7 linked regions of the Ovis aries genome follow. The protein of the gene in region 6 binds, or shares a complex with, the protein of the main gene of each other region. Links are inferred from orthologs where the notes say so. Each region holds a gene or a part of one and is shown on either strand. Other genes may lie near its edges. The genes, in order: CTNNBL1, EFTUD2, BCAS2, RBM48, SF3B2, PLRG1 and SNRPB.

What was found.
Region 1: PLRG1 (region 6) and CTNNBL1 share a complex: the UniProt entries of both Homo sapiens proteins name them as parts of the PRP19-CDC5L splicing complex. The link is inferred for Ovis aries from reciprocal best matches to the Homo sapiens genes PLRG1 and CTNNBL1.
Region 2: PLRG1 (region 6) and EFTUD2 share a complex: the UniProt entries of both Homo sapiens proteins name them as parts of the minor spliceosome. The link is inferred for Ovis aries from reciprocal best matches to the Homo sapiens genes PLRG1 and EFTUD2.
Region 3: PLRG1 (region 6) and BCAS2 share a complex: the UniProt entries of both Homo sapiens proteins name them as parts of the PRP19-CDC5L splicing complex. The link is inferred for Ovis aries from reciprocal best matches to the Homo sapiens genes PLRG1 and BCAS2.
Region 4: PLRG1 (region 6) and RBM48 share a complex: the UniProt entries of both Homo sapiens proteins name them as parts of the minor spliceosome. The link is inferred for Ovis aries from reciprocal best matches to the Homo sapiens genes PLRG1 and RBM48.
Region 5: PLRG1 (region 6) and SF3B2 share a complex: the UniProt entries of both Homo sapiens proteins name them as parts of the minor spliceosome. The link is inferred for Ovis aries from reciprocal best matches to the Homo sapiens genes PLRG1 and SF3B2.
Region 7: PLRG1 (region 6) and SNRPB share a complex: the UniProt entries of both Homo sapiens proteins name them as parts of the minor spliceosome. The link is inferred for Ovis aries from reciprocal best matches to the Homo sapiens genes PLRG1 and SNRPB.

What each region holds. Positions count from the first base shown.
Region 1 is NC_056066.1:66,596,401-66,600,348, reverse strand, and holds the start of CTNNBL1 (beta-catenin-like protein 1), read right to left. Parts: upstream 2,801-3,948; 5' UTR 2,713-2,800; coding exon 2,683-2,712; intron 1-2,682. UniProt on the Homo sapiens protein: Component of the PRP19-CDC5L complex that forms an integral part of the spliceosome and is required for activating pre-mRNA splicing.
Region 2 is NC_056064.1:44,320,467-44,323,966, forward strand, and holds part of EFTUD2 (116 kDa U5 small nuclear ribonucleoprotein component), read right to left. Parts: intron 2,984-3,500; coding exon 2,817-2,983; intron 1,085-2,816; coding exon 960-1,084; intron 1-959. UniProt on the Homo sapiens protein: Required for pre-mRNA splicing as component of the spliceosome, including pre-catalytic, catalytic and post-catalytic spliceosomal complexes. Component of the U5 snRNP and the U4/U6-U5 tri-snRNP complex, a building block of the spliceosome.
Region 3 is NC_056054.1:91,947,463-91,951,268, forward strand, and holds the end of BCAS2 (pre-mRNA-splicing factor SPF27), read right to left. Parts: intron 2,537-3,806; coding exon 2,486-2,536; intron 1,973-2,485; coding exon 1,892-1,972; intron 811-1,891; coding exon 684-810; 3' UTR 501-683; downstream 1-500. UniProt on the Homo sapiens protein: Required for pre-mRNA splicing as component of the activated spliceosome. Component of the PRP19-CDC5L complex that forms an integral part of the spliceosome and is required for activating pre-mRNA splicing.
Region 4 is NC_056057.1:10,627,001-10,630,294, reverse strand, and holds part of RBM48 (RNA-binding protein 48), read right to left. Parts: intron 2,528-3,294; coding exon 1,824-2,527; 3' UTR 376-1,823; coding exon of another isoform or gene 289-375; 3' UTR 1-288. UniProt on the Homo sapiens protein: As a component of the minor spliceosome, involved in the splicing of U12-type introns in pre-mRNAs.
Region 5 is NC_056074.1:40,572,011-40,575,955, reverse strand, and holds the start of SF3B2 (splicing factor 3B subunit 2), read right to left. Parts: upstream 2,801-3,945; 5' UTR 2,776-2,800; coding exon 2,643-2,775; intron 2,475-2,642; coding exon 2,425-2,474; intron 2,136-2,424; coding exon 2,058-2,135; intron 960-2,057; coding exon 711-959; intron 498-710; coding exon 447-497; intron 1-446. UniProt on the Homo sapiens protein: Component of the 17S U2 SnRNP complex of the spliceosome, a large ribonucleoprotein complex that removes introns from transcribed pre-mRNAs.
Region 6 is NC_056070.1:3,068,723-3,072,857, forward strand, and holds the start of PLRG1 (pleiotropic regulator 1), read left to right. Parts: upstream 1-1,335; 5' UTR 1,336-1,433; coding exon 1,434-1,442; intron 1,443-3,473; exon of another isoform or gene 3,474-3,475; coding exon 3,476-3,582; intron 3,583-3,867; exon of another isoform or gene 3,868-3,939; intron 3,940-4,135. UniProt on the Homo sapiens protein: Involved in pre-mRNA splicing as component of the spliceosome. Component of the PRP19-CDC5L complex that forms an integral part of the spliceosome and is required for activating pre-mRNA splicing.
Region 7 is NC_056066.1:52,396,632-52,399,692, reverse strand, and holds part of SNRPB (small nuclear ribonucleoprotein-associated proteins B and B'), read right to left. Parts: intron 1,428-3,061; coding exon 1,316-1,427; intron 1-1,315. UniProt on the Homo sapiens protein: Plays a role in pre-mRNA splicing as a core component of the spliceosomal U1, U2, U4 and U5 small nuclear ribonucleoproteins (snRNPs), the building blocks of the spliceosome.

The sequences.
Region 1 (3,948 bases), on a different chromosome or scaffold from region 6:
CTCTAGAGGATCTTCCCGACCCAGGGATTGAACCCAGTTCTCCGGCATTGCAGGCAGATTCTTTACCGTCTGAGCCACCAGAGATATAACCACTCATTCAACCCACCTATCTCCGTTCTTCTTTCACACCAAATAACTGTCTTAAAAAGGAAATCACTTGGCACTTGGCTACATACTTCCCATTGCTTACAAGTTCTTTCCCATGATGTCCAGAGTCTCCAAGGTCAATTCTAGGTACAATATATTGGCTGAGGGAATTGCATGAATATAATTGCTAACATTCTTAACGTTTATTCTTTGACAAGCGTTGCTCCAAACACTTCACATTTCACAACAGCCTTATATGATAGGTACTTTCATTGCCCTCACTTACAAGATAAGGAAACCAAGGCAGAGAGAAGTTAAATATTTTGTTCCAGGTCACAGCAGTCAGGGAGCAGCAAAACAAGAGAGGCCAAGCAACAGAGCTCCAGACACATGGCTCTTAGTCCCCTATTCTCTACTGCAGAGCTGTCCAAGGAAAATGAGAAGCCAGCTATATATGTAATTTTAGTAGCCACACTAAAAGGCCAGTAGCAACATTTTAAAGTCAACAGAAATAGGTAAATTTTATTTTGAATATATTTTATTTTGCCCATTACCCATATATGATTATTTAATCAGTATGATCAATAATCAAAGTAATTAATATGATCATGTAATCAATATTAAAATTTTACTTTTTTATACTGATTATTCTAAGCGTCAGTCAGTTCAGTTCAGTTCAGTTCAGTCACTCAGTCATGTCCGACTCTTTGTGACCCCATGAATTGCTGCATGCCAGGCCTCCCTGTTCATCACCAACTCCTGGAGTTTACCCAAACTCATGTCCATCGAGTTGGTGATGCCACCCAACCATCTCATCCTCTGTCATCCCCTTCTCCTCCTGCCTTCAATCTTTCCCAGCATCAGGGTCTTTTCAAATGAGTCAACTCTTCACATCAGGTGGCCAAAGTACTGGAGTTTCAGCTTCAACATCAGTCCTTCCAATGAACAACCAGGACTGATCTCCTTTAGAATGGACTGGTCGGATCTCCTTGCAGTCCAAGGGACTCTCAAGAGTCTTCTCCAACACCACAGTTCAAAAGCATCAATTTTTCAGCACTCAGCTTTCTTCACAGTCCAACTCTCACATCCATACATGACCACTGGAAAAACCATAGACTTGACTAGACAGACCTTTGTTGGCAAAGTAATGTCTCTGCTTTTTAATATGCTATCAATGTTAGTCATAACTTTCCTTCCAAGGAGTAAGCGTCTTTTAATTTCATGGCTGCAGTCACCATCTGCAGTGATTTTGGAGCCCCCCCAAAAATAAAGTCTGACACTGTTTCCCCATCTATTTGCCATGAAGTGATGGGACCAGATGCCATGATCTTAGTTTTCTGAATGTTGAGCTTTAAGCCAACTTTTCCACTCTCCTCTTTCACTTTCATCAAGAGGCTTTTTAGTTCCTCTTCACTTTCTGCCATAAGGGTGGTTATCATCTGCATGTCTGAGGTTATTGATATTTCTCCCAGCACAATAAACTGTGGAAAATTCTGAAAGAGATGGGAATACAGACCACCTGACCTGCCTCTTCAGAAACCTATATGCAGGTCAGGAAGCAAAAGTTAGAACTGGACATGGAACAACAGACTGGTTCCAAATAGGAAAAGGAGTACATCAAGGCTGTATATTGTCACCCTGCTTATTTAACTTCTATGCAGAGTACATCATGAGAAACGCTGGGCTGGAAGAAGCACAAGCTGGAATCAAGATTGCCAGGAGAAATATCAATAACCTCAGATATGCAGATGACACCACCCTTATGGCAGAAAGTGTAATTTAACACAATTCAGACTAGTCCCATTTCAAGTGTTCAACAGCTGTATGTGGCTAGTGGCTACCATACTGGACATTTAAGAAGACCAAAGAAAGGTAAAATGGTTGAGCTGGGAGCCGAAAGACCTCATCTCTAATCAAAGCTCTTACTGAGTGACTTTGGAAAAGTCTTTTTTACGCTCTGGGTCAGTTTCCCCACATGTATTCTGAGCAAATGGGACAAGAGTCCTAGGGATCCAGCACATGTGAGAAAGTCAAACATCTGCCAACAACTGCAATTAACATGTGTCCAACTTTCTGCACTTTAAAATTAGCTTTCACATTCATTGATTAACACAGTCCTCAAACTAGCCTAATAGGTAGCTATTACTGTCTCTGTTTTATACATACAGAAGTTGAGGCTCCAAGAAGACAATAGAACTTGTCCCAAAGCCACAGAGCCGATCAGTAGAGAAGCTGATACTCAAATGCAAGAAAGTGCTCTCCCACCACGATCCTCAACTCAGTGACTTGAAGCAGAGAATTAAAGGGGAATGGTTGTGAAGATAGTCTGGGGCCTTCAGAAAAGTGAAAGGGAGTCAAGTCTCAGGGTTGGGTGAGAAGAGGCCCAGACGAAGTTAAAAAGAGGTCCGGGCCTTGAGGATCGTAATTAATTGAAAGAACCCAGGAGAAATTCGAGGAAGGGACCTGGTTGACAAGAGAAATGAGAGGACCCAGGCCCAGGGAAGAGATGGGAGAGAGTGATATGAAGGAACTCTGGTCCTGCGATTCCTGCCTGGGTGAGAGGACGGTCCCCCCAGCCCTCCTCGACCGTCATACCTGGTAGCTCAGAAGTTCCCCAACGTCCATGGTTGCAGTCTCAGTCAACACTGGCTACTCGGATTCCCTCCACTCACGACCAAACCGCGGCCCCCAAAGCGGCAGCTCCAGCCACACTGCCGTAAAGCGCCTGGAGCAGGGGCCGCAGAGCCAATGAAGCAAAAGTGCGCGCGACACGCAAGCCGGCCACACTGCAGTAAAATGCAGCGATACTGCAAAGCGCCCTGCTTTTAACAGCACTACTTCCGCCCGGAACCTGAAGGGGGCGGGGAAAGGGGCGGAGACTTGAAGGGGGCGGTGCGTTAAAGGAAAAGAGTAAAGAAACCAAGATTTATTGCGCGCCCCCTACGTGCTGGGCGGAGTGCAGGGCAGGACGCACGGTGTTTCCCTTGTCCTCTCTTAATCCATTCAGTGACCTAGGCAGTTTTATTCCTCGTTTTATTCTCAGTTCCAATAGAAAACTGAGGCATTGAACTGCGCTCTCCAGTACTATACCTACTAACCACCTGTGTTTACTGAGGGCTTGAACTATGGCTAGTCTGAATTAAAATATGCTTTAAGTGTAAAGAAAATACCCATCTGATTTCTAAGACTTGTGTTGATTACATGTTGAAGTTATACTTAGGGTCAAATAAAATATAAAATTTAATTTCACTTTGCTGTTTACTTCACCATTTCTATTTACTTTTTAAAATGTGATTAGTAGAAAATGTAAAGTACTCGTGTGGCTCTCTTTGTAGCTTCCACTCCATTTGTGTTGGACAGCACTGGCTCAGAAAGTGTAGTGTCCAAGACAATTGTTAGTACCTGTGAAACAGTTGGTGATGACATTTCCTTCTCTGGGCTTCTGTTTATTCATCTATGCAAAGGCCAGTGGAACTGGATAATCCTGTTTCTACTCAAGTCGTGTAAATAGGTTTTCTGTAGGTGAAAGTTGCCCATCATTGGAAAAGAACTATTCAAAGAGTGCATCTGAGCTCCTGGGATTTAAATGTTTCTGTCTTCAAAGAGAGCTAAGCCTCTCTACTAGTTCCCTTGGCGATTAGTCTGGTGTTTTTCATGTTCATGCTGTCTGTTTTAGTCCTTTCAAGCTGCTATGAAAAAAAAAATACACTGACTGGCTTATAAACAACAGAAATTTATTTCCCACAACTCCGGGGGCTGAGAAGTCCTAGATCAAGGCACTAGCAGTTTCTTCGTCTGGTGAGGGCCTGCTTCATGATTCACAGAAGTCCCTTCTTACTGTATCTTCACATGGCAGAGGCA
Region 2 (3,500 bases), on a different chromosome or scaffold from region 6:
GCTGCGTGTCCCAGTGGGCTGCGAATCCAACCTGAGTTCTCAAGTAGGCCTATGAAACATCTACGTGCCTGGTGGTGCTGGTGGCTCAGTCGCTAAGTCACGTCTGACTCCTGCAACCCCAAAGACTGCAGCCCACCTGGCTTCTTTGTCCATGGGATTTCCCAGGCAAGAATACTGGAGTGGGTTGCCATTTCCATCTCCAGGGGAATCTTCCCGACCTAGGGACTGAACTCGAGTCTCCTGCATTGCTGGCATATTCTTTACTCAGTCACCAACGAAGCCCCTTATGTGTCTGGATACCGTTGGAAAGACAGCTTGAAGCACCACTGGTGAGAGAGATTCCATCTTTGAGGAAAAGGCCTGCAAGGCTTTGGGAGCATGGATAATTCCTTCTTGACAAAACCTGTCTCACTTGAGATTCTTGTTCCTGGTATGAGCCCCCTCTTCACCCATTTCTTCCCAGGCACCTTCATCCTTCTACTGTTTGGAGACCACTGAGCCTGATTAGGGAGAAGGCAATGGCAACCCACTCCAGTACTCCTGCCGGGAAAATCCCATGGACAGAGAAGCCTAAAAGGCTGCAGTCCACGGGGTCACTGAGGGTCGGACACGACTGACTGACTTCACTTTCACTTTTCACTTTCATGCATTGGAGAAGGAAATGACACCCTACTTCATTGTTCTTGCCTGGAGAATCCCAGGGACGGGGGAGCCTGGTGGGCTGCCATCTATGGGGTCACACAGAGTCGGACATGACTGAAGTGACTTAGCAGCAGCAGCAGAGCCTGATCAGAAGAGTCTCGGGGCCAAAAAGAGCCCCAAATGTGACTTGGTAACAGTTGATACAGTGCTCTCTCTGGCAGAGACTCTGGCGTGCAGCCCATTCCTGAACTGTTCAGCAGGAAACGCACACAGGACTCTGGGGAAGCTGGTGAGACAGACTGCCAGCCAGAGCTTACCGAAGGTGTCAGCATAGATCTTGGCAAAGGAGCCCAGCGTGAAGCAGATGCTGTACTGGGAGCTGGAGAAGCAGACGTTGCCCAGGAGCGGGGAAAGGATCAGGTTCTCGTCCGTGGAGTACATGCTGGAAGAGAGATGACCCTGAGTGTGTGGCTGGGCTGGGCTGCATGTGGGCCCGAGGCGAAGGGTGAAGGGCAGCACTCGGTATCATAGCCTTTCTCCAGTGGCTGCACGCAGAAAGGGTTTGCATAACACACACAGCTTCGCCAACAGCCAGCTCCAAGAAAGTGACATGATGGAGCTGTTCCCTAACTCCCAGTAACAAGATGATTTTCCAGAGCTGGAAACACACTGCATGATCCTGGAGAAGTTAACTGCACCAGACAAAGAGAAACTTGGAGGACAAACACCTCAGAACACAGGAAATGAAACTACTTTGATAAAACAGGAGTACATTCGAGAAATCTCAATTTCACAAACAGAAATACCAGTATAAGTAAATGAATGAATGAATGAAAAAAAAGCAACTTTGCTCCCCATTCTCATATGGTCTTGTCTGGCTTTGCTTTACAAACTCACGTTAAAACATTTAGTCTTAAAAGTCATACAGAAGCCACAGTACCCCCAAGTTCACTAGCATTTATAAGAAAACCAGAGCACATAGGAATCAACCCAAGCCTTCCTGACACACTGCTTTATGGAATTTCTTAATCTAGAAATACAAGTACAGGCTTCTAAAGAGCACTCCCCTACCACACTCCCAAGTTATGCTCCCCAGAGGCAAGTGTTTTCAACTTCTTTAAAAGCTGCTTCTAGAGCATTTACCTCCATATTTCTAAACAATATATTTATGGTGATATTTCTTGTCTGGCGCTTGAGATGTGACTTCTTGACTTCCTAACTTCCTATTCTAGTAGATCACGATTCAGCCCTACACGACCCCTGCCCTGTCTTCAGAGAAGTAGATCATTTCATCTTTTGGATTCTGGCTGTAACACTGGGCTCCGGTCATTCTTAGCCTCTCCAGTGTCAGGGAGAAGATACCCCTGTTGAGAACCAGCACTGCAAACTGGGGGTGTTCCTAAAGGTGAACTTGTCCCGGGCCACGAGGGGTCTGTCCTGGATCCTCGGGTGGAGAGGAGTTTTCTCAGCTGGACAGGCTCCTCCCAAGCCCTGCAGGCGGCCTCAAGAAGTTATCCGTACATCTTTCCACTATAGGTTAAACTGTCCTTAAGAAATATTTAACCTATTCTTCAAAGCCACCATGATTCCAAGGTCTCCCAACCATCATTCATACTTATTAACCTAAACCCCAAATCCATCTTGTTGAAAAGCAGCTCCGTAAGAAACAAAAGCCAAGAGTTCCTTCTCTTACTGAGTCTGTGCTAATAAGATAACAGCAGCTGACATTATTCACCCATAAGCTATTATCACTGAGCACTGTGCTAAGTATGTTATATCGGCTATCTACTTAATTTCTTGTAACATCTCATTAGGCAAATACTATTATTCTTTTTTTATGGAAGCAGAAACTGAGGCTCTAAGAGGTTAAGGAACCTTTCCAACTTTACATGGTTGGCTGGTGAAGATGAGACTGACTCTAGAGCTCAGGGAAGTGACTGCAGTAATAAACTGAGGATCTGCAGCCAGTTGCCTATCTGGTTAAGGAGCAGAGTTAATGAGGCCAAGGCTAGGGAGTCAGTCCCTGTAGAGTCACAGAATGTTCCTCCAGCTGTGTCCAACAAGCTCATCAATGCATGCCAAGAGCTCAGAGTTGCCCCCAGAGGTGTTCAAGGTTAAGATTTATAAAAACCAGAGTGCCGGGGACAGGAGGTTTACTTCGGGGGCTCCTCTACCTTATTAACCCGTTGACCTCATCGACAATGTGACGCAGCTTATAGTAAGCATCCGTGGGTGGCAGCTTCAGCTCCAGGATCAGCCGGTCAATCTTGTTGATGCACACGGTGACTGCCAGCCTCTCCTGCACCGCGTGCTTGATCAGCCGCTCTGTGTTCAGCATCACCTGAGACACAGAAGCTGGGGATGAGTGCAAAGAGGGCAGAACAGGCCCGCACAGAGTCAAAGAAAGTTCTAGTTTAAAATATGAAAAAAATAAAAATAAAAATAAAATATGAAGGATGTGGAAGAGAGGAAACAGATTATGAGGGGGAAGCAGAGGGTATCTTATTCTACAGCAGAGTCGGAAATTTTAAGAGGTGACCTGGTAGGGTTGAGAAATGAATAAATCCACTGATGATTTTGGGGAGCCAAGTTTCTCAGTGCCAGAGAAGGAACCGAGAAAGGCTTAGGAAGCTGTGGTGCGGAAACAGAATTGTGGGTATCAGGGAAATTCCCTGATGGTTCAGTGGTTGGGACTCGGTGCTTTCACTTAGTGGGCCCAGGTTCAATCACTGGTCCGGGAATTAAGAACTAAGATCCTACAAGCCTCGAGGTTCAAACAAAACAAACAAAAAAGAATTGTGGGTATTAAGATACATTGATTTTTTCTTTTACTACATTAATGTTATTTATTTATTTAT
Region 3 (3,806 bases), on a different chromosome or scaffold from region 6:
CAAAACCTTGATGACACTTTCTGGCTAAAAAAGCTTCAGCAAATTACTTCATCAGAACCTGTCAGTTTGTATATGAGAATATGTAATTCCATAGGCTTTTGTGAGGATCCATTTTTTTTAACTCATGTAAGTTTAGCTCATCTACCTAAAGTGCTTAGACAGTGCTCAGCATATACTAAGCTTAATGTAACTGCTGCTTACAGTGATGATGATCACAGGTAACATATATAGAGCCACTCTATTTCTTTAGTCTTGTTTGGTAATCAAAAATTTGTTTAGAACTACCTCTTTATTTGAAATACTTATATTAATAAACCAAAATTTCCAACTTCTTGTACATGTTGAAAACTTTCAGTAAGGATCTCTTGGGTACAAAATATGGTCACAGTGACTCAAAATTAATTTTAAGAACAAAATATTATTCTAATGCCATACTAATCTTGGAAATCTAAAGTTCTCTTTTTTTTAATAGCAAAAACACAAAGCAAAACAAACCACCATCATGTTTAAGTTTTTTATTTTGCTAAAATGTACAAATAGAATACAACTACCACATTTTATGGTTTCTAAACATATAACCACTGATGGTTTCCAAAAGATGCTGATGTTCCTCATAGTTAAGATGCCTGATCTTCTGTGAAAGCCCAGCGTACCTTCCTCTCTACCCACCGAGCCAGTCTATTTCAGAAGTCTTGCCGTATGTTTTCTTTGTTTGCCTCTCCGTGTTGCTGCTTCATTTGAAAGAGCTCATTTTCTAATTGTACAATAGTCCTTTCAATCTCATAATTCTTACTGACCAGGGATACCCAGCTAGAAAAGAAAACACAGGGGAAAATTACCTAAAGCGAAATTTCTCTTACAAGATGTTTATAGTATACACATAACTATACACATTTATAGTACACACATTTTTAACCAGTATATGTATTTTTAACCATAATACTAACCTTCACTTTTAGCTTTACATTTTCAAAAGCTGAGGCACAATTAGGGAGGAAAGTGAGTAAAGGGTATGTATATAGGACCTCTGCACTACTTCTTAAATTGCATGTGAACCTACAATTATCTCAAAATAAAAAGTGTAAAAAAAGAACAAATCAGAAAGAGCTGAAGAGATATGAAAGAGTGATTGAAGTTAGTATTTAATTGGGTTAGAAAAGGATAGAAAATAGGGCAAAGGCAATAGTTAAAAATGATGAAGAAATTTCTACAGCTGCTAAGATACAATTCCACAGATTCAAAGAACCTTTCCCTTCTACCAGAAAAAAATCTCCAGGACAAATGAAACAAACACACATGTACATGCAGATTATATCAGTTTGAAGCACAGTGTGGAAAGATGCAATAATAGACTGATCACATGGGGTACTCAGAGGATGAGGGGAAGGTAGAATAAGGACAGTGGTGTGGGTGATGGAGGCAGGGAGATCAGGGAAACAGCAAGTCAAAAAAGACAAGACATGATTAAAAAAATGACTATATTCAGAGATTTGTACAAAATTTATTTGCATATATGAAGAACAACATTAAGAAAACAAAATATATAAACAAAGGGAAAAACTCCTGAGACACACACAAATGATCAAGAAAGTAAGGAATTCCCCTCCTTTAAGAGTTTAAAAATAGACTCAGAACAGAAGTAGTGGATGGAAAACAGGGGGCTCTAAAATCAGAATAAATTAGCAGTGGTTCAGTTTTGTGTTTGTAACTCTAACATTCTTTCAAGCCCATACTTCAGAAACAGGCAGAAGCAGTCAAGACTGGGATTCCGGAAAAGCATTTCTTTGATACTTGTGGCACTCTATTTGAATACTGTTTTAATCATATTGTTGAATCTTGATCTTAACATGTGCCAAACAATTTAAAAGGTGATGGAATTACAGATACTCACGTTGACTCCATTTCTCTTAATTTAGATCCAGCTGTGAGTTGCATGTTCTTTCGTTGCCAGTTTAAGTCTTGAATATGTTTCCTGTTAAAAAAAAGAGTTTATACAACCCACCTACATTCTAACGTAAGACTAAAATCAACAGAAAAGTCTGTAATTAATATCTTTAATTGCTTAAGAATGGATAGTCCCTCCTTCCTGCTTTTCCTTCTGATAACTTTTGCTCAGTTTTTGGTGAGTATTCTTTCAGATACTTTCCTGTATGTGTATATGCACACAGAGATTAGGGTGTGTGTGTGTTTTTAATTTAATATAAATCATATTATACATATTATTTTACTACTTTTCCTTCTAAAAGTATCATTTCAATAATTGCAAACTTGCAAACTGCAAATGACCCCAGAGAGATGTTTTCAGATCTCAGGTCTATTTCTTTTCAACTCAGGTAGGGCAAACCCAACACTAAACAGTGGACAGAGTGGATCATCAATTATTTACTCTTATATGACCACAGTCCAGTGGTTCCTTTTCCTTCTTATTGTATTTACTAAGGATTCACCTAAACTTCATTCTAAAATAGAAATACAAACAATTTACCTTAACTTCTGAAGCTCCTTCTGTGCGTGCTCAATCATATGAACTAGATTTCTAAAAAAGAAAATCAGATTAATGTACATTAAAATCAAATAGTGCTAACTAAAAGTATACTGTCTCGTTGACACAAGGCCAAGTTGTTCTGCTAAAAATAAGCCAGTATTTTTTGAGCTCCCTGTGCCAAACATCATGTTAGACACTCTACAATACTAACTTAATTCTCACAAGAGTTCTTTGAGGTAGACATCATTATCCCCATTTCACAGGTTAGGACACTATACTCAGATTAAGTAACTTGGTCAAGGTAACACACATGATTAAGCCTCAGAGGTGAATTCAGGTCTTACAAAACTCTTGAACCCAAGTTGTTTACTGATAATTCTGATTTCGTGTACTTATGTCAAGTCTTAAACTGTTATTTTCTTTACATGGAGAAGATGAGGGAGTATCTGATGAGTATACTTGTTTCATCATTCATGCGTGTACCTCCTTTTATCTCTGTTTCTTCACCTACATTCAGTGTGTCCCTCTCTCCTCCTGTCTACTGCTAACTAGAGAGAAGAAAAGAACTGTTGTGGAAGGCTGCAGATTCAGATTCAGTCCAAATCAGCTCGAACCAGCAGAGGGGAGACGTTGAGTTAGACAGAGTTCCCTGCAATTATCATTAGAGAAATGACTCAAGGGTAGAGTTCAATCTCTCTCTTTTCCTCAACTACAGCTTTACTAAGATACAACTCACATACCCTGTCAATTTCTCTTAAGGCAGTAGAGTCCATTTCAACCATACTGGCTCTGCTAAGCTCTTGCTCTAGATTCAGTATTATTTCCCGGCTTTTGTGGCTCAAATTTCCTGCTTTCCTTCTGAGTTAATTCTCCTATCTCTACCAATTGATTTTCAGAAACTAACTCTAATTCTATAGAAATTTGGTCTTCAAACAGTGGTGCCTCTCCAGGCTTACTTTCAGCTCATCCCACTTTGACAATTATTCCACCCTGGAGACAATAAAGCTTAGTACTGTATTCCTGACCTCCAACCATTAATAGGGAACTTTCCTTTGAATCACCTCTTTCTGGAAGGCCGGCTTATCTGTTGTTTTCTCCCTTCTTTTAGCTTCCCTCTTAAACACACAGGTCCCTCCTCAAGTATTCTGAATGCTGACACTGACCACACCGTACCATGGGAATCAGAAGACCTGACATCTAGTCTCAGCTCTGCCCTAAATAGCTATGCTTCCTGGGATGGGCCATTAGATATCAAGAGGGCTAAGTCTGTTTATTTGTAAAATCAGGGGCTGACCTTGAAGGTTTCCCTTCAGTTTCAAGT
Region 4 (3,294 bases), on a different chromosome or scaffold from region 6:
GAGCAGTGGGCCCAATTCCAGCCAAAAAGGTGTAACCAAAGTCACGGAGTGTAGGCTCTGGGAAAGTTTTATTTTTTTAAAAGGGACATAATTGGCTGGCATGTTCTTTGTTCACAATAAAATAATTTTAAAAGATGAAACTAAATTAGACAAGTAGCTTGAATGAAACTACAAAGAATAACAGTGCATTAAAAAAAAAATACCAGCAGTAAAATCTCTTCAAGAATCCAAATGACAGCCGAAAAATAAAAAATAGTCCTTTAAAAATATTAATTTACTGCAGGCGATTTATATCCTCCTCCTTTGTTTTAAAGGACGACTTCTATGCACATCTTCCACTTTGTCCTCTGGAGGCTTGGGCACAGATGAAATTACCTAGTTTTAAAAAGAGAACCACCAACAGTTTAACTTCTATAGCAGGAGAGTAATACACTGTTAGAAGAGGGAAGATGGACACCCGGGAGTTTAAGCCTCGCCATCACCACCTTTAAGGCAGGCAGTCCACGTTCAAGGTGCAGCCTGCAATCCAGACACAGAGCAGTCTTCTGTCCAAACACCGATGGGAGTGAGATTTTTAAAGCCAAGAAAAATTTTCAGGGGAGAAAAGTAAATGTATGCTCTACTTTAACATTCCTTTATAGATCTGTTATTTTATTAAGTCACTTTTAATTTTATGAATACAGAGAGATACCCTGGTTTTGTGTAACTTGAAACACGGATAATGTTTGATATATTCAGAGACAAGGAGGCTCTAGCTAGGATGGTGGAAGAAAAATGTAGAGAAATAAACAAAAATGCTAGAATCCTCAATTTCTCAGGGAAAAATGAAACCAAATACATCAGAACAAAGTAGACAATGTAAGTTAAAGCACACACAACAGTCTTCACTTAAAATGGAAAATTACTAGAATCTGACATAACTGTATTTAGTATTTTTTCTTCTACACTTTCTAAATCTAGGATTTGGACCTAACTTTTTTCTTGAAAACACAGTCGACTCTGGCTAAGACAACTATGTGTGTGTCTGTGTCTATCTGCACCTGCAGGCTGGGCACCAGCACAAGCGAAAACAAGGCTCTAGAAGTTTAAGCATTAAAAAAAAGCTTAAGCAGAAAAACTGCGTCCCTCAGTTTTTATTAGTATAAAATAATTCCTTGTCCTTAACTGGATTTAACTTTGATGTTAAGAAAAGGTACATAAAATAATCTACCTTAGCCTTTCTTAATCACATTTGTGAAATATATGTACCACTATGTGAAAAACACTTTCTGAACCTGAGTTCAAGTACAAGAGAACGGTCTTTCTCCTTCGGATAATGATTTCTAAAGGCTTGCCCCATAGTCAGGTATCTTTCAAAAGCTATCTCAAATGTTAACTTTTATTTGTGCTTAGAAAATGGAAAATGATAATGTAAATGACATTAAAAAACTACTACTTAAGGAGGACCATCTATCAATAGGTCTTACGAAGTTAGAATTAAAATGCAGACCTTCAGGCCTAATCTTTAGAAATCTCACCTTCTTCTATGATTATCAAAGAAGCAAAATAAGCATTTGAATTTTTAAATTTGTAATTGTGAACTTGAGAAATAAATTATAATAATTTCCCCTCAGTGCAGTAGTTCTCCACATTGGCTCATATTAGAACTATCTGAAGAGGGATAGTTTTGTTTAAAAAGGGAGGGCCTGGGCTCCATTCTCATAGACTAATCTGACTGAAACTACTGCTTTTATATTTTCTACCTAGAGTAACATAAAACATATTTAAAGAAAGGATTAAAGGTATCAAAACAAATACATATCTGTAAGTCAACTTCAGTTACTTCAACATATAATTGTAGGAAAACATCTAAAAATTAAAAATGGAAAAAAAGAGAATGACAATACTGAAGTTCCTACAAATAATTCTCCACTTAGCTGGTAGTCCTTATAACCAAACTGTCTCTTACAAGTTTCTTTTTTAAACGATCTTACCTCTTTGAGTTTATTCCGAATTAAATTCGCTGTTGTATTCAAGGAGTCATCATGCATGTCCACTTTAGGAATGTCTGGTAACTGGGGGCCAATCATAACCTCGTTACTACTTGTGCCTGCTTCAAGAAGGGTTTCACGTTTGCAGTCATCTTCTCGTCGTCTTTTCCGCTCCTGCAGTTGTGTTGTCCTAGGCATAAACCTGTCAACTGCCTCTGAAGGAGCGAGAGCCTTCTGTGCGCCGTGGCGGGCCAATGACTTTTGTAAAGTTTTCATCTGCATTTTCTGCAGAGAGTCACAGTGGTCACAGTGCCCCAGTGTGTCATCAGAGTTTCTACCATCCTGGGAGGAGTTTGATGGTCTGTCTACATATTCTCCTGATGAACATTTACACTTTGGGGAGAAATAACACAACGGCAACTCAGGAGAATAAGGAAGACAAAGATCTGAGTTCCCAGTAGATGTGTTCAGAGAGGCTGCAGGAAATCCAGATGTCTTTGAATGGAAGTCCCCTCTAAAATCTTTGGCATCTTTATGCTTCTTTGTCATGTAATGGTCTGTATGTTACAATTGAAAAGGCAGGGAAAGGGAAACAGAAATGGTTCATTTACTCTTTTCATCACATAGAAACAAGTAATTTTAAAAAGAAACATTAAGATGTTAATGAATGCTACCCTAAAAAATTTCTTCTTGAACAAGTACTGTATTTACATGGGTTAAAAGCTAAAAAGGTCATCTGTCCAGTCTTCTTCCCCTCCCACTCAGCCCTCTAGTTCTCCTATAATACCCACTTTTCTGTATCTGCTTTCCAGTTAACTCTACATCTTGGGGAGTTTTTCCATGTTATTACACAGAAAACTTTATATCTTCAGAGTACTTTTACTATTTGAACGTATTATGCTTAGTTTGTGTTTGTGGTTTTTAAAGAAAACAATATGCTGGGTCCATATCTTATCATTTCTTTCGCCACACATACAGGTTTTCCTGGAACCAGTTATTTACACATTTACCCAGATTACAGTTCAGGGCCTATGAATGACCAAAGACTCCCAACAGCTCTTGCCAAAATTTCGGGTAAGTTTTCCACTTCTCGCTTCACACTGCCAGGTGCCCCTTACCCAATCAGTCAGAAACTCATTATAGTCAATGGCTTTTTAGACACTGTCTTTGTCTTTTTAACCAAAGGGTGAAAATCTGGTAATTTGAGCCGCTAGAATTATTCAGATTTCAGACCACACACACTATCATAGTCCAGTGCTGACTCCTCTCGTTCTACAATCCATGAACTAGATTCTGTGACTCCATTCTGTGCACTGGGAATTTG
Region 5 (3,945 bases), on a different chromosome or scaffold from region 6:
CAGGGGATCTTCCCAACCCAGGGATTAAACCCACATCTCCTGTCTCCTGCAGGCAGACTCTTTACCCACTGAGCCATTGGGAAAGCCCAGTAGGGGTCAGGAAATTTCTTCTGTAATGGGCCAGTCAGTAAATATTTTAGGCTTTCTGGGTTGTTTGTAGACTGTTGTAAATTCCTTTCCCCCATCTCCCCGAAACAACCCTTCAAATATATAAAAACCATCCTTACATCACAGGCCATACAAAAACAGGCTATAGTCCACAGATTACCAATTCCTTGGCTATGTGAAAGAAAGAATTATTTGGGAGATAATGGAATTTAGATGAGGATGAGGTAATCTCCATGGGAAACCTGAATGGCACGGCTAATTTTAGACAGTAAGCACTAGAAGTGACAGACGATGGATTAGACCATGGAGGTCAAAGGTTAGGAAGAGGGAGGCATTACCCGCTTCTGCTGCTCCAAAAGCTCATGTTCCTTCAGTGAATGATCTCCCTGCTTAAGAAAGAAAACGAGCTCATTCCAGTACCCACACCCCACCGGCCAGTCTACCACAGCTCTGCTTCCTGGTCTGCTCTTCCAGCCGAGGCCCTGAAGACTTGGGTCCAGACCTTCCCAGAAGCCTTGGCCCCAGGATCCGGCTCCCCTGGAGGCCCTACTCCCTTTTCAGGACCCTGGTGAGACCCAGGCTCAGGCTGCCACCTGCCCTACCTGCTTGGCACGCTCCTCCTGCTGCATCAGCAATGCCGCCTGCTGCTGCGCCAGCTTCAGCCGCTCTTCCTCAGACAGCGCCACGGGCTCACCCACCCGGAGAGGAGGAGGAGGCCCCAAGTTTGGCGGGCGGGGTCCAACTGCCATAGGAAAGCCAAGGCCAAGGCCAGGTGGGGGTGGTGGGGGTGGTGGAGGGGGTTGTAGAGGAGGGAGACCCATGGGTGGGGGCGGCATGGGAATCCCCGAGAGCTGTGGGGGGAAAAAAAGGCCATTAACTATGAAGCATTTATGTAATGGCAGGCATTTGCTGGGGAACTAATATAAGGCTGGCACTGGGATTCAAAGTCAAATGATGCACAATTCTTGCATTCAAGAAAATGCAGGGCTTCCCTGAAGGTCCAATGTTTAAGAATCCGCTCAACGCAAGGCACATGGGTTCGAGCCCTGCTCTAGGAAGATTCCACGTGCTGCGGGGCAACTAAGCCCATGTGCCGCGTGTGCTGCAGCTGCTGAAACCCGTATACCCTGGAGCCCGTGCTCCGCAACCAGAGGCCACTGCGATGGGATGGCCGCACAACACAACTAGACAGTAGTCCTGTGCTCGCTTCAACTGGAAAGGGCCTGCACACAGCAATGAAGACCCAGAGCAGCCAAAGACATAAAGGAAAAAAGAAAGAATACTCTACGGCAGTATCGAAAGAAGAGCATTTTAACTTTGTGCCACCAACTGATGAAAGCTGTCAACTCTGTCCCAGAAGAACATCATGAACACAGACTTCACATACAATTTCAGGAGACTCACGGACACCTCTAAAGGCCTTCTGAAAAACTCCTCAACCCCTCAAAAAATAAAAACCTTCTTATGCCACACATAGAAGTCCCTGGACCCCAAGTCAGGGCCACTGCTCTACAGAAAAACTATCAAATCCTGGATCAGAAAAGACATGGAAATTGAGAGTATTTAAATAAATAAGACCCAGTGTGCCCCAATGACTGATTAAATATAGAAGGTATGAAATTAAATCAGAGAGTAAGCCCTAATTTCTCATTGAATAACATGGGAACTCTGCACAGGGAGGGCAGAGAAGAGAGTGATTACTTCCAGCTGGGGAAGGATTATGTCAGGTTTCCAGATATTTAAGCTGAATCTTAAATGACACATGAAATTTGGAGGAACTGACACTGAGAAAGGAAGTAAGAATCTGGACGAAGGAAGAACTGAAGAGTTCCCAGTTCTTTCATCAGTGTACCTCCCTGCCCAGTGGGCTACGTGTATCCCCCTGTACGCTCAGAGGAGGAGCTACTCTGAGTAGAAAAGAATCTTATCAAGTGAGACAGTCTTCTTACCTGTGCTGACATAGGAGGAGGAGCAGCTTTGTCCCCATCTTCACCTCTCAGAACGGGACGATTCAGGACGATGCCAGTCTGTGAAAGTGAAAAGAATCTAGGGCAGTCTAAAAGGAGCTGGTGCATGAAACAGCGTTCGCTCTCGTCTATTCAACAAAATTTACCCAGTGACTGTCTGCCAGAGCTCGGAATGGGCTCTGGGAAGAAACGATATATACAAAAGCAATTATAACACAGCAGATACGAAGCAGCCAAGACCCCACTTGCTGTACCGAGATTCGTAAACAACGAAGACCGAGTTGTAACGGGTCATTAATGCCTCCTGCAAACGCTCGGCCTATCCTCATGTCCCGCCACCAACACTTACTTGGCGAGTGTAAGCCTGCAATCGCTCCACAAGCTCCTCGCGACTCCCTGCTAAGCAAAGCACAGGATCAACGGGGTAGGTCAGGTCGAGCAGGCCAGCCTGCCCAAGTCAGGCCACCGCGGCCAGCCTCTAACCCCCGCCCCCGGGTCTCCGGGGTAACCAGCTCCGCTTCCCCGCAGGCCTGCACTTTCCTGCCCTTGACTTCCCATGCTCCTCACCCTGGATGGGAGCTCCGATCTCTGCTAATTTGGCCTGAAGCTCCTGGGCAGCCCAGGCACCATAGTGTCCAGGAGGCGGCGGCGGCGGCAGCTGCAACTCTCCCTTAGGAGGCTCCGGATGCTCGGCCGCCATCTTAGCCGCAGGAAGGCGCGCGACCAACCCGGAAGCTCGGACCAGCCTCCGGACCCACTTCCCGGAACTTCCGGTAGGGCGATACGCCACGTCCGCTCGAGGGTTGCCAGGCAGTTCCCATCAGGGCCCACCCCCTACCGTTCTCCAATGCTCCTTAGGCCGCCTGGTCGCGAAGCCTTCTGGGAGTTGTAGTGCACAGGTCACGATCTCTGCGGATTCAAATCCGGGAGGATCGCGGCCGGCCGCGACGCGGGGAACTCTGGAGGCCAGAGCCGGGGCGGGGCTGTGGGGAAAGCAGGTCCTGCCCGAAGGGCGTGCTTTCTGCATCTCACTGGCCTCAGCGCAGACCTCCCGCCTTGCGGCGCTACTCCCTGGTTGGACTTGAGAGGCCTGGACGCTCACGTTCTCCAGGGACTCGTTCCCCCGGCGGTCGCGCGCTGTGGGCGCCAAGCGGGAGTTTGCCGCCGATGCCTGTGATAAAACAGTGTCTGATTGTCTGCCCGCCCATCCCCGGCCCAGGCATGGATGAATGGGCTGAAAGGAGATCGGAGACGGGAACGAAGCCGGCCCTCCGGGCTGAGATCCAGCTGCCGACCTGGGGGAAGGGCCACACTAAAGCCCCTTTTTCCACCTTCCTGGCCGTCTCAAATGTCATCTACGTTAAACTGTCTCCCGCCTTTCCTGCTCTGGAGCGGCCAAACCTCTACCATTTGTTTTGAAATCTTTCTTGCCCTTTTCTGCACTTACAACTCCCAAGACATGAGTTTTTACGGTCTCACAGTACCTGGCGTTAGAAGTGCTCAATGAATTATTACTGAAAGGGGGAAAAAAAAAAAAAAAAAGCAGTCTTAAGCGACAAGATTTGGATCCTTTTTTAGTCTTGAAAATAAACGCAGGGGAATTCCCTGGTGGTCCAGTGGGTCGAACTCAGTGCTTTCCCTGGGGAAACCCGGGTTCCATCCGCGGTCAGGTAACTAAGATCCCACAAGCCGCACCGCAAGGCCGAAAAAGAAAGAAAATAAACTCAGGACCTTTTCTTCCCTCATCCCCACCAGCTTACTGGCGCAGCAGACCCTGTCTGGTGCTCTCCTACCCCACCAGCGGCCTGTGCCCCTGAGGGAGGGATGGGCAGGTGGCCCTTGCTTGCCCCCTTCTGCTTCTCCCTGTCCT
Region 6 (4,135 bases):
ATTCTTTGCGACCGCATGGACTATATGTAGCTGGCCAGACTCTTCTGTCCATGCAATTCTCCAGCCAAGAATACTGGAGTGTGTAGCCATTCCCTTCTCCAGGGGATCTTCCTGACTCATGGATTGACCCAAATCTCCTTTATCACAGGCAGATTCTTTTACCGTGTGACCCACCAGGGAAATGCCCTTAAAGCCAAACTTACACTCAAACTCAGAGATGACTGTATTTTCAAATACATGTATGATCTTAACGTTTATAATTAATTAAAAATTAATTTCTAAATGAGATGAACAACTCACATTGCTATACTTTGATAGATTTTTCTCCCTGTTAAAGCGGGGTGCTCTGGTGAAAAGATCTGCAGAAAGTGACTATGGTTAAAGAACAGGAGAGCCAGTAAAACGTTCGCCTATTCAAATTTGCAAATATCCAGTTCCATCAATTTTTCTTCTTACCTAGTAATATAGGTACAACAATCACAAACTGCAGTCTACCTGGGTATAAAACAAAATGCCCATCTTTTGGCACCAGTCTGTATATATTAATACATAAAAATGCCTTGTCTTCAGTTGTGGTTTTTTTCTACCAACTTTGGCCAACTGTACTCTGGCATTGTTGAAGCCACATTTATCACTGGACAACTAGCAAACAAGAGTTATGCCAAGAGTTTTGAGAGATTAAAATTTTTAAAAACCTGTATTAGTGGAAAATAAAGGAAATGGCCAAGAATTCTGAGAGACTTAAAAAAAAAAACAACTATGGAAAATAAATTTGAGATGTTGCCACATGCTATTAAAACCAAAATCTTTTGCAAAATTTCTCAAATTGAAACTGTTCCAACAAGTGCTTAATGGACAGCATAAGTGGAATTGTTTCTGGGCGCCAAGAATACAAAGACGTCTAAAGGCTTTCAGCCGAACTGAGTGAAATAGCGCAATCTGGCCACGTATATCACGGAGGCGCCCCCTCAAAGAAGGCAAGAGCGTGTAAGAGCCTTCCCGCGCTCTCCGGAAGTTCCCTAGAACTGTTGGTTTGTCTGAAGAAATCGTTTTACCATTCCAGAGAACAAAGGGCAAGCAACCACAACCGTAAACCAAAGTATTTAAGGCTGTGAGTAAGAAAACGTTTCTGTGAGCAGAAAACGTTACTATCTCAAGATTTCTGCAAGAGCAAGTGAAACACGCCCTCACGCGACTCCAGCATCTTCCGCTTTGCCGTCCAGAAGCTCCTCCCCAGAGGCGGCCGGGGAAGAGCCCGTTGCTTCACCTCGGAAGGCCTGCGAGCGCCTCGTGCGCCTGCGCGGGGCCCTGCGTCACATCCGGGCCAGGAAGCGCAATTCCGGAAGGGGCTGAGCAGTCGTGGCGGCGGTTTCTGTCCTGTCTGTTGAGTAGTGCTTCTTCCCTGCTGGAGCGCCTGTATAGACGGCGGAGCCATGGTCGAGGTAAAGTGACACTTGGGTGCTCAGGGGCCGTCTGCTTCTGGATTGTTTTTCTTTGGCCGCGGGCGTGGGCGATCGAGGGTTTGGGAGTGTGGGAACTGGAGAGAGTAGTGGCTGCGAAGGGAGGCTGTTTGGCCGAGACCGGGTGGTCTCGTAAGGTTTTCTGGAGGAAGAGAAACCAGAGTTGTGAAGTGAAGCGAAAGTCGCTCAGTCGTGTCCGACTCTTTGCGACCCCATGGACTATACAGTCCATGGAATTCTCCAGGCCAGAATGCTGAAGTGGGTAGCCTTTCCCTTCTCCAAGAGGATCTTCCCAACCCAGGGATCGAACCCAGGTCTCCCGCATTGCGGGTGGATTCTGTACCAGCTGAGCCAAAGGGAAGCCCAGGGAATACTGGCGTGGGTAGGAGTGGGTAGCCTTTCCCTTCTCCAGCAGATCTTCCCGACTCAGGAATCGAGCCGGGGTCTCCTGCATTGCAGGCGGGTTTTTTGTTTGTTTGTTTGTTTGTTTTACCAACTGAGCTGTGAGGGAAGGCCTTCCAGGCGGGAAGCCTGAGGCAATTACTCCAGTTTTCACGCGGTCCTTGGGTACGGAGTTCGTCACGGAGGCGGGGCATTTATTGAACATCGATGTTTGACCACAGGTACTCGCCGTCTGCTCGGTAGTCAGTGACTCTATGTCCTCACTGGTGGTCTCCTCTCATCTCACTTTGTCTCCTATTTAAGCTCTTTTCCGGGAAAACCTGCCATTCTTGAATTTTTGCATTTCCCCCTAACTATCATTCTGTTAGCAAGCTCTGTTCATCTCATCTCAGAATTCTGGGCTCTTTGTCTAGGCCCACTGTCCTCACCTGAATTCAGACCGCATCATCTTCCACCAGCTGATGCATTTGCTTTTAGGTGGTCGGTCTTTTTGCTTCCGCGTTTGTCATCCCTCTCCCTTCCGCACCAAATTGATCTGTTTAAAACCTAAGTTGATCCAGCTTTTCTTGCATGAGACTTTAGTGGCCCTATGTAAAACTAGAGCAAAAATGCACACTGCTGCAGTGGTATAAAAAACAACTTACTGGGACCTGGTCTGTCCTTACAACCTCATCTTCCATCATGAGCCCTCCTTTTCGCCTAACATATACTATGTTCTACGGCTTCTGTACTGTACATTATGTACTACAGCTCCTGGCAGTATTTCAGTTACAGAACGCTTTTGTATATGGCTTTTTCTCCTTGTCTCGATTTTTTTTTTTTTTTTTTGATTGATTGATTTTTTTCAGTTTCGCTGGGTCTTCGTTCCTGCTCTTGGGCTTTCTGCAGTTGCAAGGAAGGAGGGGCTACTCTTCATTGCGGTGCGGGACATTCTCATCGCGGTAGCTTCTCTTTGCCGAGCACAGACTCGAGGCGCATGGGCTCCTGTAGTTGTGGCGCAGGGACTTTAGTTGTTCTGTGGCCTGTGGATTCTTCCCCGACCAGGAATGGAACCTGTGTCCCCGCACTGGCAGACAGATTCTGATCTGCTGTACCACCGGAGAAGTCCTGCCTGGATTGTTCTTACCTCTATTTTGTGCAAGACTGATTCCTTCTCTGCTTAGCTGCCACCTCAGAGAGATCTTCCATAACCAGCCTAAGGTCTTGCTCTGTTCTGTCTCAGTCCCCTGCTTGTTTCCTTCATAGCAATTATTAAAATTGCTTACCCTATTTTTATCTGTTTCCTCTTGAGCACAGGGAGGTGGCTGCCTTTTCATTATTCCTTTGTTAGTTTCTAGCACAGTACCTGGCACTCATTTAATGGGAACTCATTGTTTATTGAACATATGACTGATTTCAGGCATCATTCAGTTGGTATACTTGGGGCTGTGGCCCAAGAGAAGCTTCCTCCTCTTCTCTGAACTTGTCTCCTATAGCTTGTTATAAATAGCTGTGGTGAGTGGTACAAAGTTTTACATATTTAAAGGTGTAAAGTTTATAATTAATTTGCTTCAGTTTAGATTATGATGTATGTAATTTGTAGCTAGGTATGTAATTACACTCTTTCTTTTTAGGAGGTGCAGAAGCATTCTGTACACACGCTTGTGTTCAGGTCATTGAAGAGAACCCATGACATGTTTGTGGCTGATAATGGAAAACCTGTGCCTTTGGATGAAGAGAGGTAGGGATAGTTCCCTTTCAATTGCTAGAATGTTTCAACTTTTAATAATGGGGGAAGAGAGCAGGGAGAGGGGAACCTTTAAAAATTAGTGAGTCATACTAACTCTTAGGAGATCTATTAGTAATGAATGATGTTTTGGCATAATTTAAGCTGATTTAACTTTTCTTTTTGGCTTTTTACAGAAAAATTCCTATTAATTAATTGCATTTTACAAATACCCAGTAATTAGGAGAGTCCCTTTTAGGTGTTATATTTTATAATCAATCACTTTGTATGTGCTTTCAGCTTCCTGCTGCTCTCAGAGCCTTGCTGAGCTGAAATTGTACCTGGCCAGTACCTCTACTCCCATCTTTTCTCGTTAGTATGATGAAGATTCTTGAGTGGTGGCATATTTTTGGTTCTACATCTCCAGCTCCAGTCTGAGATTGCATTATGTGCAGTGTTCCTTCTTTGTCCTTTACCCTTCTTTTAAAATCTACCTAATTCCTCAAACAAGCATTTATAATTAATTAACAAAGTGGGCTGTCCTTAAAAGTAGCATAGTACTTGCATT
Region 7 (3,061 bases), on a different chromosome or scaffold from region 6:
AAACACTATCCATTCCTGTTAACACCACTCTTCCTCCATCCAAGATTATATGCCCAGCAGGCTAAAAGAACTTAAGGGTTTTAAGTCAAGAGAAACAGGTACAACTCAACCAATATGCATTCCTATGAAAATCAAATAAACAGCCAAGCCTCCACCCCAAAGGGTATCTATGTTAGATTAGTGTTTTGACCCGACAAAGAGATATGAGGTCCAGTCCCAGCTCTGATTCTCACTTGGTGGGTAATAGTGGGGATAGTGGGCAAGTAATCCCACCATTCTAGTACTGCTTCTTCATCTACCAATGAAGAGGTTTTAACAAAACTGGTTGTGGTCCTGAAGGCTTACAATCGGCTACATTAGAGTAGCAAATTCTACTGGAAATAGATACCAAAGCTATGAATAGGTACCTAGGCCTTGAATCAGAAACATGGTAACATCCTTTGCATATAAGAGTCTAAACAAAAGGAAATAACTAGGATAAACTACTCTGCACTCACTTGAAAGTATCTTTAAGTCATTAACATGACTTTTGAATACAGCAACTGGAAAAATGTTTACAATGTTAAGTTAAAAAGCAGAATGATACACACCTATTACAAGTTTAAAAAAACCCAACATATATATATGTGGACAAAAATTAACACAAGGTAACAAGATTATTCCTTTAACAAACATTATCTTAAAACGAAAAAGGGGAAACAAATTTGGTTAGATTCTCTAAAGCCTCTCCTATTTCTAAAGGGAGGCTGATGTTAATGAACCAATACTGCTTGGAATCAAATGACAGTTTCACCACTTTCCAGCTGTGCCACCTTGTGCAGGTTACTAAATTTCAATTGGCATTATCTATAAAGCGGGAATAATCTATCTCAAAAGACTGTTACATGAATTAAATACTGAAGGGCGTGGCAAATAGCAGATGCTTAATTAAATATTAACTATTATTCTATAACTATACAAAAAATATACATGCATTCTATTGTTTGGAGTTACAATTTTTTATGGTCCAACTAGACTGTCATCACATTAAGAACTGATCCAGGAGGCCTTAGGTGCCTCTTCTATTGACTAGGTACATCAACTAAGGAAAAGAGGGCTTTAAAGTTACAAACCCTCAAATCCTAGTTCCTTACTTCTGACTTGCAAAGGAACCTCTTTAAGATTCTGGTTTATTATCTGTATAAGGGAAACAGAAACCAGAAGATACCTATGAGAACTGCAATGAAACAGAGAACCCCACACAGGGCCCAGGTCAGGGTGGCACCTCCCTTGCACAAGGTTCCTGGCCTTGCACTGGCTCTCAGTTCTGACTTACATCTTTTGGAGGTGGTCCCTCTACTGTCATTGAGACCAGGTTCTCCCCTCGAAGTAGTACAAGACCGAGGACTCGCTTCTCTTCTCTCTCTGCTTGCTTTGAGTTCTTTGGTCTAAAGACAGGTTTAGGAGAAGAAACAAAACAAAGCAAAACAGCATTAGAAAAAGGGTAAAGTTCATGTTCACCTACCTAGGGGCCCTCCGAGACTTTTTTTACACTAAATCTACTGACAGGCTAAACTTGTAACCTCCCCCCATTTGATGGTTGTCTCCCATGCCAAGAGAATGCACAGACCAAGAGACAGGACAAGATTCAAGAAAGCCCAGCCCTGGCTCACTCACAAAGCCACTGTGAAAGCCTTCCCTCAGTCAACTCTTTGTTGCCATTACCCTTTTTCTTCCTTCAGTTTAAGGCCTTAACAATGTCAGGAAGGCAGTCGGAACAATTCCTCAAGTCAACTGAATCCCATTCACTCTACTTACATGCAGTATCCTTCTAGTATTAATTCAGCCCCACAGAACTATAACTCTGTCTCTCACCTCATATTAGAAATAGAAGCCATAAAGGAAAAGGTTAAGAGATTAGCTACATAGAAATTACACTTCTATCCTCAAAGAACAAAAACAAATCTCCAAATATCCACAAGTAGAAAAGGATGAGCAAAATATAAACGAGATAGACTGGGAAAAAGTAATTGCAACAAGACAGGGAAAGGAAAGTCAAAGCCAATATCCTAAAGTTAAAGGAAATACAAAATATCTTGATTTTTAAAAATTACTTAAAGTTTTCATTTTAATGATATTTTATATAAATTTTCTATAGGTGGTCATTTTTTCCTCTTTTTTAAAACTTATCTATAGTTCTTATTTTTTTTAAAAAAAGCATGTACTGCCCTTTCACAATTTAAAAAAAAAATCCTTTCTGGGTCTCTTAAGTTTTTTCTCATATACTTCTATGTACTTTTACAAAATATTTTCTAATGGGCACATTTTCATTACCAGAATAAAGTTAGTCTCATTTAAAAATGTTGGCCACTCTCTAATGTACACCGGGCACTCAGCCATCACTACCATTTTCTGTCTTATACTTCTTGACCTCATGCCACAAAGAAAACAAAAGTCCCAAAGAGAATTAAAAGGAACTGACAGCCACTGGTAACACACTATGGACACTCCAGTGGCAAAAGAGAGCTGGATGGTCAAGGAAATTACGTAACTTCTTTGGGCCTCAAGATGCCTTTACTGTATAAAACACTAGACCACATCTTTTACCAGGCTAGAAGCTTAAGATCGGTGAGTCCTAAGACAAGGGAATTATCTAACAAATTATGGGACTGTATTCTCCAATTGTTTCTGTAAATGACAACAAAAATCACTGGCCCCAAACCCACAAGGGGAGTTGAGCACTTACCCTGAAGAGGGTCAGAGGCTTCTTAAAGCAGTTTCAGACCAGGCTGCACTGTGAGAGCCCTTTAGGCTACAGCTTTACAAATAGGCAATGAGGCCAGAAAATCAAGCTCTCCCCCCTTACACACCTGTGGGGAGAACATGAGAGCCCTTTACCCCAGTACCCCCGGGCACACAAAATCAGAGAAATAAAAAGCCTGGCAGCCCTACTTACAACTTGTACTCTGCTAGAAGTAAAGAGCAAGACTAAGGAAAGAGATTTAAGAAACTCTCCATTTTAATCTGCCCTGTAAAACAGGAGAGCAAACTGAGAGGAACCAGCCAGCTAGTCACCACCTAA